Arabidopsis thaliana: one gene and its partner. The protein of the gene in region 1 interacts with the protein of each later gene in a pairwise test. Each region holds a gene or a part of one and is shown on either strand. Other genes may lie near its edges.

Region 1 (3,956 bases):
ATACTTTCACCTCAAAACGCATCAGCTCTTGTAAAATCCATAGGAGATCTTCCAGTTTTAGTTGTTGCCGGAGCTGAAGATGCTCTTGTTCCTTTGAAATCTTCACAAGTTCTGGCTTCAAAACTCACTAATTCTGTAAGTTTCACCTCCTCTCTCAACAAGACTTTCATAACTTAGTTTCTGCTATCTTGAATCTAAGTCTATGTATTTTGTGTGCGCTCACAGAGACTAGTAGAGATCTCTGGTTGCGGCCATCTGCCACACGAGGAGTGTCCTACAACACTTGTTTCCGCTCTCGGCTCCTTCATTTGCAGACTGATACCTAAACTACCAAACTCCTAAAACCACACAAGACCATCTCAAAGAAGAGTTTGATGGAAACATCTGCGAGAACATCAGGAGCTCTCTACACAAGAATACGATTTTTCGTGGTTCCATCCATCAGCGTAAATCAGGCATCAGTGTATTCTTAAAGGGATTAAAACTCCCACCAGATTTGCTACAAAGAACTTTGCTTCAGAATCACATCGACGTCAACTAGGCCAAGTGAATATTATCAGCCTAATTTTCTTAAACACAAACCTGTGATTTTTACTTATGTATGATGTATATATGAATTCTATTTAGAGATAATACAAATCCTTCCCAATGAATTTGCTTTCAAGCTTCTCCAGCGAACAAACCAGCAAGGTAGGTAGTCAGAAATGGTTTTTGGATAATCATTCGAATACATTTTTAAAGATAGATAAATCGACTGGCGTCTCTAACACAAAGTACGCTGATCGAACGAACAATAGCAAACGATCCTAAAAAGAGCTTCTCTAGCATCTTATCAAACAACAACTCTTAAAAACATTTAGAAAACAGAAAAGCAACACAGAACAAAGCGGGTAACTAAAAAAGTCCTATTCCTTGGCGGATTTGTTGATGAGACTCTTGTGGATATGAGGGATGACTCCACCACCAGCTATAGTTCCTTTGATGAGAGTATCGAGCTCCTCATCTCCACGAATCGCAAGCTGCAAATGCCTCGGCGAGATACGTTTCACCTTCAAGTCCTTGCTGGCGTTACCAGCCAACTCCAAAACTTCTGCAGTCAGATACTCCAATATTGCTGCTGTGTAAACAGCTGCAGTTGCTCCAACCCTTCCATGAGCAGTGGACCTTGTCTTTAACAGACGATGCACCCTACCAACTGGGAACTGCACACAATGTAAATTCAATTAGCCACAACAATGGAACCTAAATGAATACTCAAATCTCAATTGCTCCCAGAAACATTTCATATATGACAATAAATCTCTACAAAAAAAACTCCGAATTCAATTCACAAGGTAGCTGTAACAACAAGACTCCGTGAAATCAAAGATCGGGTTCAATATCAACCATAAAAGCTTAATGAAACAATTCTCCAGCAGATAACACAATAGAAAACCAAATCTCGCATCCCAATGTCTCTAATTCTCAGCTGAAATTACCAAATCTAGCTCAGAATCTCATCGATCTACCACTTAAACGCGATCTACTAATCGTTCAGGTGTATAAGACCATTTCGATTCCCAAAGAAACAGACACGGAAGACTTAGAGTGTGAGGGAGATTATAATCTACCTGGAGACCAGCTCGAGAAGAACGAGTGATAGGCTTCTTCTTGTCCTTATCCTTGTCGCTACCGCTGGGTTTCCCCATAATCAAACCTTTAGCACCTTTCCCCGACATTTTCCCGCCAAATATCTCACAGTAAAATCCTTGGAGATTGAAAGAGAAAGGAGATCGCACAACCAAAGATAAAAAGAGAGAGAAGAAGATGAGCTCGAAGAGGAGTCTCCCGATAGACGTTTTCCCCAGATAGAGAGAGACAAGTCGGTCTGTCAAATGACGATTTTACCCTTATACCCCAACCTGCGAAAAAAGCCCAAGCCCAATCTAAAGTCAAATAATCATAAATCACAAATTCGTCCCTAAATTTAGTTCAATATTGAAAAAGACACTTGAAAGAAAACTATTAAATTTTAACACCCATGTTTTGATTCAAAAGAAGAGAGGGAGATCTTTGTTTGTTTTCTCTGTATAATCATTCAGTCTGGAAACAAAACATAGCAAATCATGAACTAAGACATATAGAGGCTTTTTGTACGCTCAGTTTAGCTTAAGTATCAGATGGTTTCTCTGCGGTTTTTCCTTCTTTGTTGATGTGAAAGCCTTCAATCTTCTTTGAAACTTCATCCACGCTATGCTTCACTCTCCTCGAGCTAGTTTCGTTCTCTTCGGGATTTGCTGGTGTTGTTTGCCAGATTCTGATTGTCCCGTCTTCAGATCCCGAGGCATAGGATAAACCAGTGGGAGTAAACCTAACGCAGTGTACTGGACCGTGATGTCCCTTGTTGCATCCTAAGTTTCAGACACAAATGAAACAATCAGAAAACCAAAACCTCGCAGGAGCTTAAAGAACCATGCTTCAAAGATCTATTAAGCTCTTCACTCATGGAGTTTATAACAGAGTCAGAAACTCCAATTAAGCTTGAAGCTATCTGGAATTTAACTTGGACGACAAAAAGGTAATATGACAGTGTCTGATTTGGAATATGATAGCATAGATGTTTTGAAAGTCACTTACCAATCTCTTCGCCAGTGTAGAAATCAAACACTCGGACCCACATATCCTCTCCACCAGCAACAAATTTTTCACCAGACTTTGGCTCCAACGATGCAGATTCAATATTGCAGGGCATGTCGTAACTCTTCACTAGTCCAAAACTTGGAAGAAAAAGCAAGGGGCAAAGATGGGGTTTGAGCAAGATACAAAAGGTAATTAGAAAATATTTGATTCTCTTCCTAGAATGAGAACTTACTGGTTAGCGTCCCAGAATTTAACAGTTGACCCATCAGCAGTTGTTATATACCGTCCATCTTGGCTCACTTCAGCACTGGTGACAGGAGACTTAGTTTCTAACGTTTGCACAATTTTCCCACTCCTCACATCCCATAACCTGTATAAGATAGCAGTAGAGGAGACGGAAAAGCAAACAAAACGTCTATCAAACTATGCCTTTTTATGTGCGACAATGTGTATTTAGTCTGTGTCTTGTTTAGTTCATACCTTACACCGCCAATATCAGTACATGAACTTAATATTGTTTGATCACTGTGAAGCCATGTGAGGGTTCTGATAGAACCAGGAGATTTATCAACTTCTGTAGGAGGTGCATCCAACCGATTCATGTCAAAAACACGAAGAATTTTCTCAAACCCTCCTGTGAGCAACGATTTTGTATCCTAGTGAAAGAAAAATGTCATTCAATTAGTGACGATGCATAAAAGCGGATCGACACCATCCACAAACAACAAATGTTTAAGAATAGTCCAATCTGAAGAACAATTTCACTATCACCTAATTAAACAAATCCTCAAAGCTTTTTACTTAAATTCCGTGCAGTTGCCTGAATAAGAGCTATTACATAACAACCTGCCCACAACCGATAATCCAAAACACAGAGATACAAAAGCTTATGCCTATAAAGACAAAACAGGATTAAAGTATTTCAGTAGATAATTCCAATTCTTTTAGCCTACCATCTTACAAAACCCCAGTTGACCAAATCGAGAATCTATATGGAGAGAGTAAATAGGTTGAACGAACCTCTGAGAAGGCGCATGCTCGGACAATATGCTTGTGCTCAAAAGAATGCAGCACATCCCCTGTTAACGCATCCCAAAGTTTGCTGAACAAAACAAGATAACAAAAAATTGGATAAATGTGCTGTATCTAAGAACATAAAACATACGCAAATAATGACTTAATGAACCAAAAAAAATTAAACACATACGCTGAAAAATCGGCAGAAGCAGATGCAGCACGTAATGCATTGTTATCCAGACAAGAACTCCAAACTGCACCTTTATGCCCTTCAAATGTACCAATCCAGTCTCCAGTTTCCCCATTTCTCAACATTGGAT
Region 2 (5,673 bases), 6.4 Mb from region 1:
AGTCAGAGGTTTAGCCAAATTAAGCGAAGGTTTAGAGAGAGAACAGAGGATAGTGCTAGAACGGCGAGAATTGACATTGCAATGAGCAGAGAAAGTAGAGCAGAGAGAGAGCGTCGCTGAAGAAGACGCCATTGTTTTCGACTGAGAGAGAGCTCTAAGCTCGAGACTTTGGAGCTCGACGGAGAATAAATCCGCAGTGTTATCCTATCCACTTCCTTTGAAAATTACCATTGTACCCCTGTCTTCAAATTGGTTTAATTTCTAAGCTTGCAATTTCGGTTTACCGGTTTATTTCGGTTCAGATTTTGGGTTTTCCAATTAAGTAATATATTATATACACATCAATTTTGGTTTTGTTCGATTTTTGACAAAAATTATAATTCTAACTACTCTTAATCTCTTTATAGTGTTTAGTGTATTTAAATGTACTTTATATTTAATTAGTTATATTAATTCTGAATATTGGTTAATTACAAATTCACCAAATTTGGTTTCAATTTGAGATTTGGTCTGGGTTGTTATAAGAATTTAGATTTGGTTTGGGTTGTTATAAGAATTTTCTACAGTTTCACAGTTTGTATTATAACAAAATTACTTATGAAATCCGATTTTGGTTCGGTTCGGTTTCTTTTCGCCATCCCTAAATCACATTTCTTTGGAATTCAAAAACTTTTATATGAAGCAAAAATTATCCATATGAGGATAAAAATTTAGAAAGTTGCTCATGTACAAAAATAAAAAGGAAAGCAAAAAACAAGCCAGAATATATTTTTGTATCCTTAGAAATTAGAATTCAAAATATAAACGAAATTAAAGAGAAAAAAAACAGAAATTGTGGAAGAATGATGAGTCAGTCATCAGATTTTTCACCATCAACTCCAAAAGCATCAGCAATGTTGAAGTTCAAGTTCTTCATCATGGTTCTGCTTCTCCCAACTCCATCTCCTTTCCTCATCATTGCTGTAAACTCCGAGAAATCGATCTTCCCGTCCTACATAATTCAAAAGCTCTCGGTTATAGTAAAGTAACATTGAAGAAGGAGGTAAACAAAGAGAAGAAGAAGAAGAGTGGTTTACATTGTCAAGATCAATCTCCTTGATCATGTCGTCCAGAGGTGTATCACATAGACCAAACTCTGTGCAAGCTGACTGAAGCTCATCGATGGTGATATAACCGCTTCCGTCTTTGTCAAAGTACGAAAATGCAGCCACCAGATTCTCCTCTCTCTCCATCTTGTTCATGTGTAAGGTTGCTGCTAGGAATTCTCCGTAGTCTATTGTACCACTGTTGTCGATATCAGCCTGTGACCACAACACACAGAGGATGTTAAACGGAAACAAAAGTTTTTGAAAAGAGGAAAGAGTTTGTTTTGGTTCTTTCATACCGCATCCATGAGAGACTTGATTTCTGATTCCATCAGTTCAGATCCGACTCTCTTCAAACCCGCTTTGAGCTCTTCAAAAGTAATCGTTCCGCTGTTGTCTGTGTCTATCATCTTGAACAATTCCTTCAGACCTCCAATTTCTTCCTCTGAAAGTCTCTCAGCAATTACCTGTGTTCAGAGAAATCAGCATACGGATTGGACATAAAGAAAAAGCGAATGTATATTACTCGAATTCATACCCGTAATGCCATTTTCTTAATCTTATTCATTTGAGAAAACTGCTTTAGACGAGATAAGACTGCTGGATCAAGAGGCTTGTCTGGTGCTGCTTGTTCATCGACAATCCATGGGTGACCTATATAACATTCAGAGCAAACTCAATACTCATTATTTACCATAAAAACAATTCACAACAGTTGCTAATTCCAAATGAACAACAAAGAATGAACATACACAAGGCTTCATGAGCAGAAATGCGTTTCTTGGGGCTCCTTTCGAGCATTTTATAGATCAAATCTTTAGCAGCTTCTGAGATAGTAGGCCACGGGTCAGATTTGAAATCTAACTTCCCTTGCAATATCTGTCTAAAGATTCCAGACTCAGTCTCTGCAATGCCCAAGAGAAAAGAATACATCATTCAAACAAAAACTCGAAACTTGTAAATAGAAAAGACTCTACTTTTTTAGTAGACTAACCTGCCCAGAAGGGAGGAACACCGCTGAGTAAAATGTAGAGGATAACACCAGCACTCCACACATCTATTTCAGGTCCATAACATTTCTTTAGCACCTCTGGTGCAACATAGTACGGACTTCCAACTACGTCATATAAATATTGTCCTGAAGAAGCAAACAAAAACCAATTAGCCGATAAACTGGCATTAATGAGAAGGTTCAAGCCAGACACACAAATGCAGAATAATTTCGATCTACACATTAAGTTTCAGAGACTCCTCAATGACGAACATCTATACACATTAATTTCGATCAATACAATGTTCCCTCTAAGAAGGTAACAAATTTGAATCCAACCAAACAGATCATCAAACCTATACATACCGAAAACCTTATTTCGATTTGCAATCCATATAAAACACAACAAACCTGTTTCTATCAAGAAACCACTTTGTTTCAATTTTCGATTCATAGAAAACACAAATAACCTGATTCTACAAGAAACCAAACCAAAGACTTAATCAAATGCAGAATAGTTCCAATCCACACATTCAAAGACTCCTCAATGAGTAACAACTAACCAAAGCAAGCTCCCTAACTACACCTTATAGACATTGTCCTGAAGAGTAAACTAAAACCAATTAGGCGATGAACCACCAACAATAAGGTTTCAAAGAATCACAGATACAAGCCAAAATACACAAATGCAGAATCATTCCAATCAACACATAAACTTTCAAAGACTCAATGAAGATACAAAGCAAAATTCCCTTAAGCAACGAAAAAATCATCATCAAACCAAAACACCAATTGCAAGATTAATGAATCAATCAACCAAAAGAGAAAAATCAAACCTGGCTTATAGAAGACAGACAAACCAAAATCGGTAGCCTTAAGCTTAGCATCATCTTTAGGACTATCAAACAAGAAATTCTCAGGTTTGAGATCTCTATGCATAACACCAAGAGAATGACAAGCCTCAACAACACCAAGAATCGTCTTAATAAGCTTGACAGCTTCACGCTCACTAAAATGACCTTTAGAAACAATCCGATCAAAAAGCTCACCACCTTCACAAACCTCCATAACAATATGAACAAACACCGAATCTTCATAAGTCCCTTTGATCCTAACAACATTTGGATGCTCAGAGAGATGATGCATGATCTGAATCTCACGCCATACATCTTCGTAATCCTCGCGACACACGAGCTTTCGCTTCGGGATCGATTTGCAGGCGTAATTAGCGGAGGTTGATTTCTCTGTGCAGAGATAGGTTGTTCCAAATTGGCCTTGGCCTAGCTTTTTTCCCAGAAGGTAATGATCTCTTAATCGTGGTGTTTGATATGGTAGAACTGTGTTTGAAGGACGTCTAGGGTTTGGCTTCGTCTCCATTTTTGGTTTTTTGTTGGTTCTTCTTCGATCTCGATTTGAAGAAGAAGAAGATGATAAACAGACTTTTTCTTTGTTGCTCCTTCCCTCTTCTCCAATTTTTTTGACTCTCTCTTTATATCATTTTAATCACATTTTGTTTATTTTCTAATTTAATTTTATATGTTTTGTTTTGTTAATTTTTAATATCAGATTAGTTATCTTGCTTTAACTTTACATAAATAAAAACACCATCATTTTTTAATTTCTAAATCGGTAATTTTATATTAGGGACATTGCAATACTTTAGATATAAATCTCATTTTAAAATTTCTAAATTTAATTACATATATTTGGTTTGTTAATTAGTGACATTGCAAAATTTACTATATAATCCTCATAATATAAATAGGAAAGAATATGTTAAAACAAAAAAATCTCATTTTTTAATTTTTTTTAATTTGTTTTTTTTAAATTTATGTTACATCAGTCATATTGCTATAACTTTAGAAACATTAAAATACAAAGTTTTGGAACGTATAAAAATAGTATTGTGTTTTGTTCTTGTAAAACATATGAGTTAATTAGGATATATAGTTGTTTTATTTTATTTTATTTTTGCTAAAATATGGTGTAATGAAATATTGAAACTTACCTTTTTTCATTCATATCTTTTTATTGATACTTTTGGTTAATATATTGACGGTTATTTTTTCCGCTTGTGTGTTTTCATCCCAATTTTTTGCTAAAACATTGATGATTATTTTTTTCTTGTTTATTATCGTAATTGTTTGTTAATATTGACGAGTTTTTTTTCTTCGTCTGTATCTTTTTTTTATTGCAAAATTTTGTAAAATTATTGACGGTTATTAATCTGTTTAATATATATATACATATATATATATATATATATTCTTTAAATAATTACTAAAATTTATAATATGCGATTTGTTTTTTTTTAAATCATTATATAAACATATTTAGAATATTTCCTCCGCGACATCGCGGGATTCTGAGTCCTGGTTTTTTTAATATCACATTAGTTTAACTTGCTTTAACTTTACATACATAAAAAACCAAAATCAACCTTTTTTTTGTTTTGTTAATTTTATATTAGTGACATTGCAAAACTTTAGATATAAATCTCATTTTTTAATTTCTCATATTTTTTATTTTTGTTAATTAGTGACATTGCAAAATTTAGGATATAAATCTCTTTTTTTTTATGTTACATTAGTCACATTGCTATAACTTTAGAAACATTAAAATAATTATAATACAAAGTTTTGGAACGTATAAAAATAGTATTGTGTTTTGTTCTTGTAAAACATATGAGTTAATTAGGATATACAATTTTTTATTTAATTTATTTTTGCTAAAATATGGTGTGGTGAAAATATAAATAAGTGGATTGTTGTATTTAAGAATAATGTATCATCAGATAAATTAAAAGCTAGTATTTGTTTAATACACGATAAAAACTCATAGTATTTGTTTTAAACAATCCGAAAAATCAACACCTATTTATTTTGTAATTTTCTCACCACTTTATTTTGCAAAATAAAATTTCACAATTTGGTTATTTAGTGTATAATGCTAAGTAATATCTTACCATCATATGTTTTGTGATTTTTAAACATTACTTTTTATTTTCCAAGGCTTGTTGTATCAAATTCAACTTCAGGCGGCCCAAGTTTTAGAATCAATAAACAAACCTTGAAAAGAAAACACTCAACTAGCCATTAGATTGGCATAAAGCTCGTCTGACAAAATATTATAATTGATTGGTGTAGGTTTGATTGGTGTAGGCTAGTGGGGTTTGGGGTCGTAGTACGAAGAGAAGACTAGTGGATAATGCTGAACACGTTTACATGACTTGGACCCATTTTATCTACACGTCTCATTCTAATTTTTGCGTTCATTATGGAAACTTGTGATTCTGTATCCAGTTGTATTATTTCTATCTAGTTTTTTATGGTCCAATAAATTATAACCAAAGAAAACTGTAGTAAAGTAAACCATGCATAAAGTATATACTCTATTTGATTTAATATAAGAGAAACAATATCATTAGAAAAATTCAGGAACACGTTTTGAAATCGAGAGATTAACGTTATCGCCATAACGCTATTCGTGAACTAAAAGAAGGTATCGAATCTTGACTTCTTCAAAAGAATAAAATTATTGCTAGGGCCTAGGAAGTAGTCTCTTTCGATTATATATGTTGGTTTTGACTATTTTTCA

The links.
Region 2: the proteins of HTA9 (region 1) and CDPK2 interact in binary tests that used the Arabidopsis thaliana proteins (3 or more experiments, as listed by UniProt).

What each region holds. Positions count from the first base shown.
Region 1 is NC_003070.9:19,643,171-19,647,126, reverse strand, and holds HTA9 (histone H2A protein 9), read right to left. Parts: upstream 1,892-3,956; 5' UTR 1,719-1,891; coding exon 1,611-1,718; intron 1,203-1,610; coding exon 906-1,202; 3' UTR 642-905; downstream 1-641. Other genes in the region: AT1G52750 (alpha/beta-Hydrolases superfamily protein), read left to right, coding at 1-135, 226-342; AT1G52730 (Transducin/WD40 repeat-like superfamily protein), read right to left, coding at 2,149-2,390, 2,617-2,756, 2,852-2,989, 3,100-3,275, 3,640-3,721, 3,827-3,956. UniProt on the Arabidopsis thaliana protein: Variant histones H2A are synthesized throughout the cell cycle and are very different from classical S-phase regulated H2A. May replace conventional H2A in a subset of nucleosomes.
Region 2 is NC_003070.9:13,203,236-13,208,908, reverse strand, and holds CDPK2 (calcium-dependent protein kinase 2), read right to left. Parts: upstream 3,565-5,673; 5' UTR 3,454-3,564; coding exon 2,913-3,453; intron 2,224-2,912; coding exon 2,080-2,223; intron 1,991-2,079; coding exon 1,838-1,990; intron 1,740-1,837; coding exon 1,624-1,739; intron 1,553-1,623; coding exon 1,385-1,552; intron 1,302-1,384; coding exon 1,077-1,301; intron 992-1,076; coding exon 851-991; 3' UTR 620-850; downstream 1-619. Other genes in the region: RPL21C (Ribosomal protein L21), read right to left, coding at 1-132. UniProt on the Arabidopsis thaliana protein: May play a role in signal transduction pathways that involve calcium as a second messenger. Functions as a regulator of the calcium-mediated abscisic acid (ABA) signaling pathway. Phosphorylates ABA-responsive transcription factors ABF1 and ABF4 in vitro.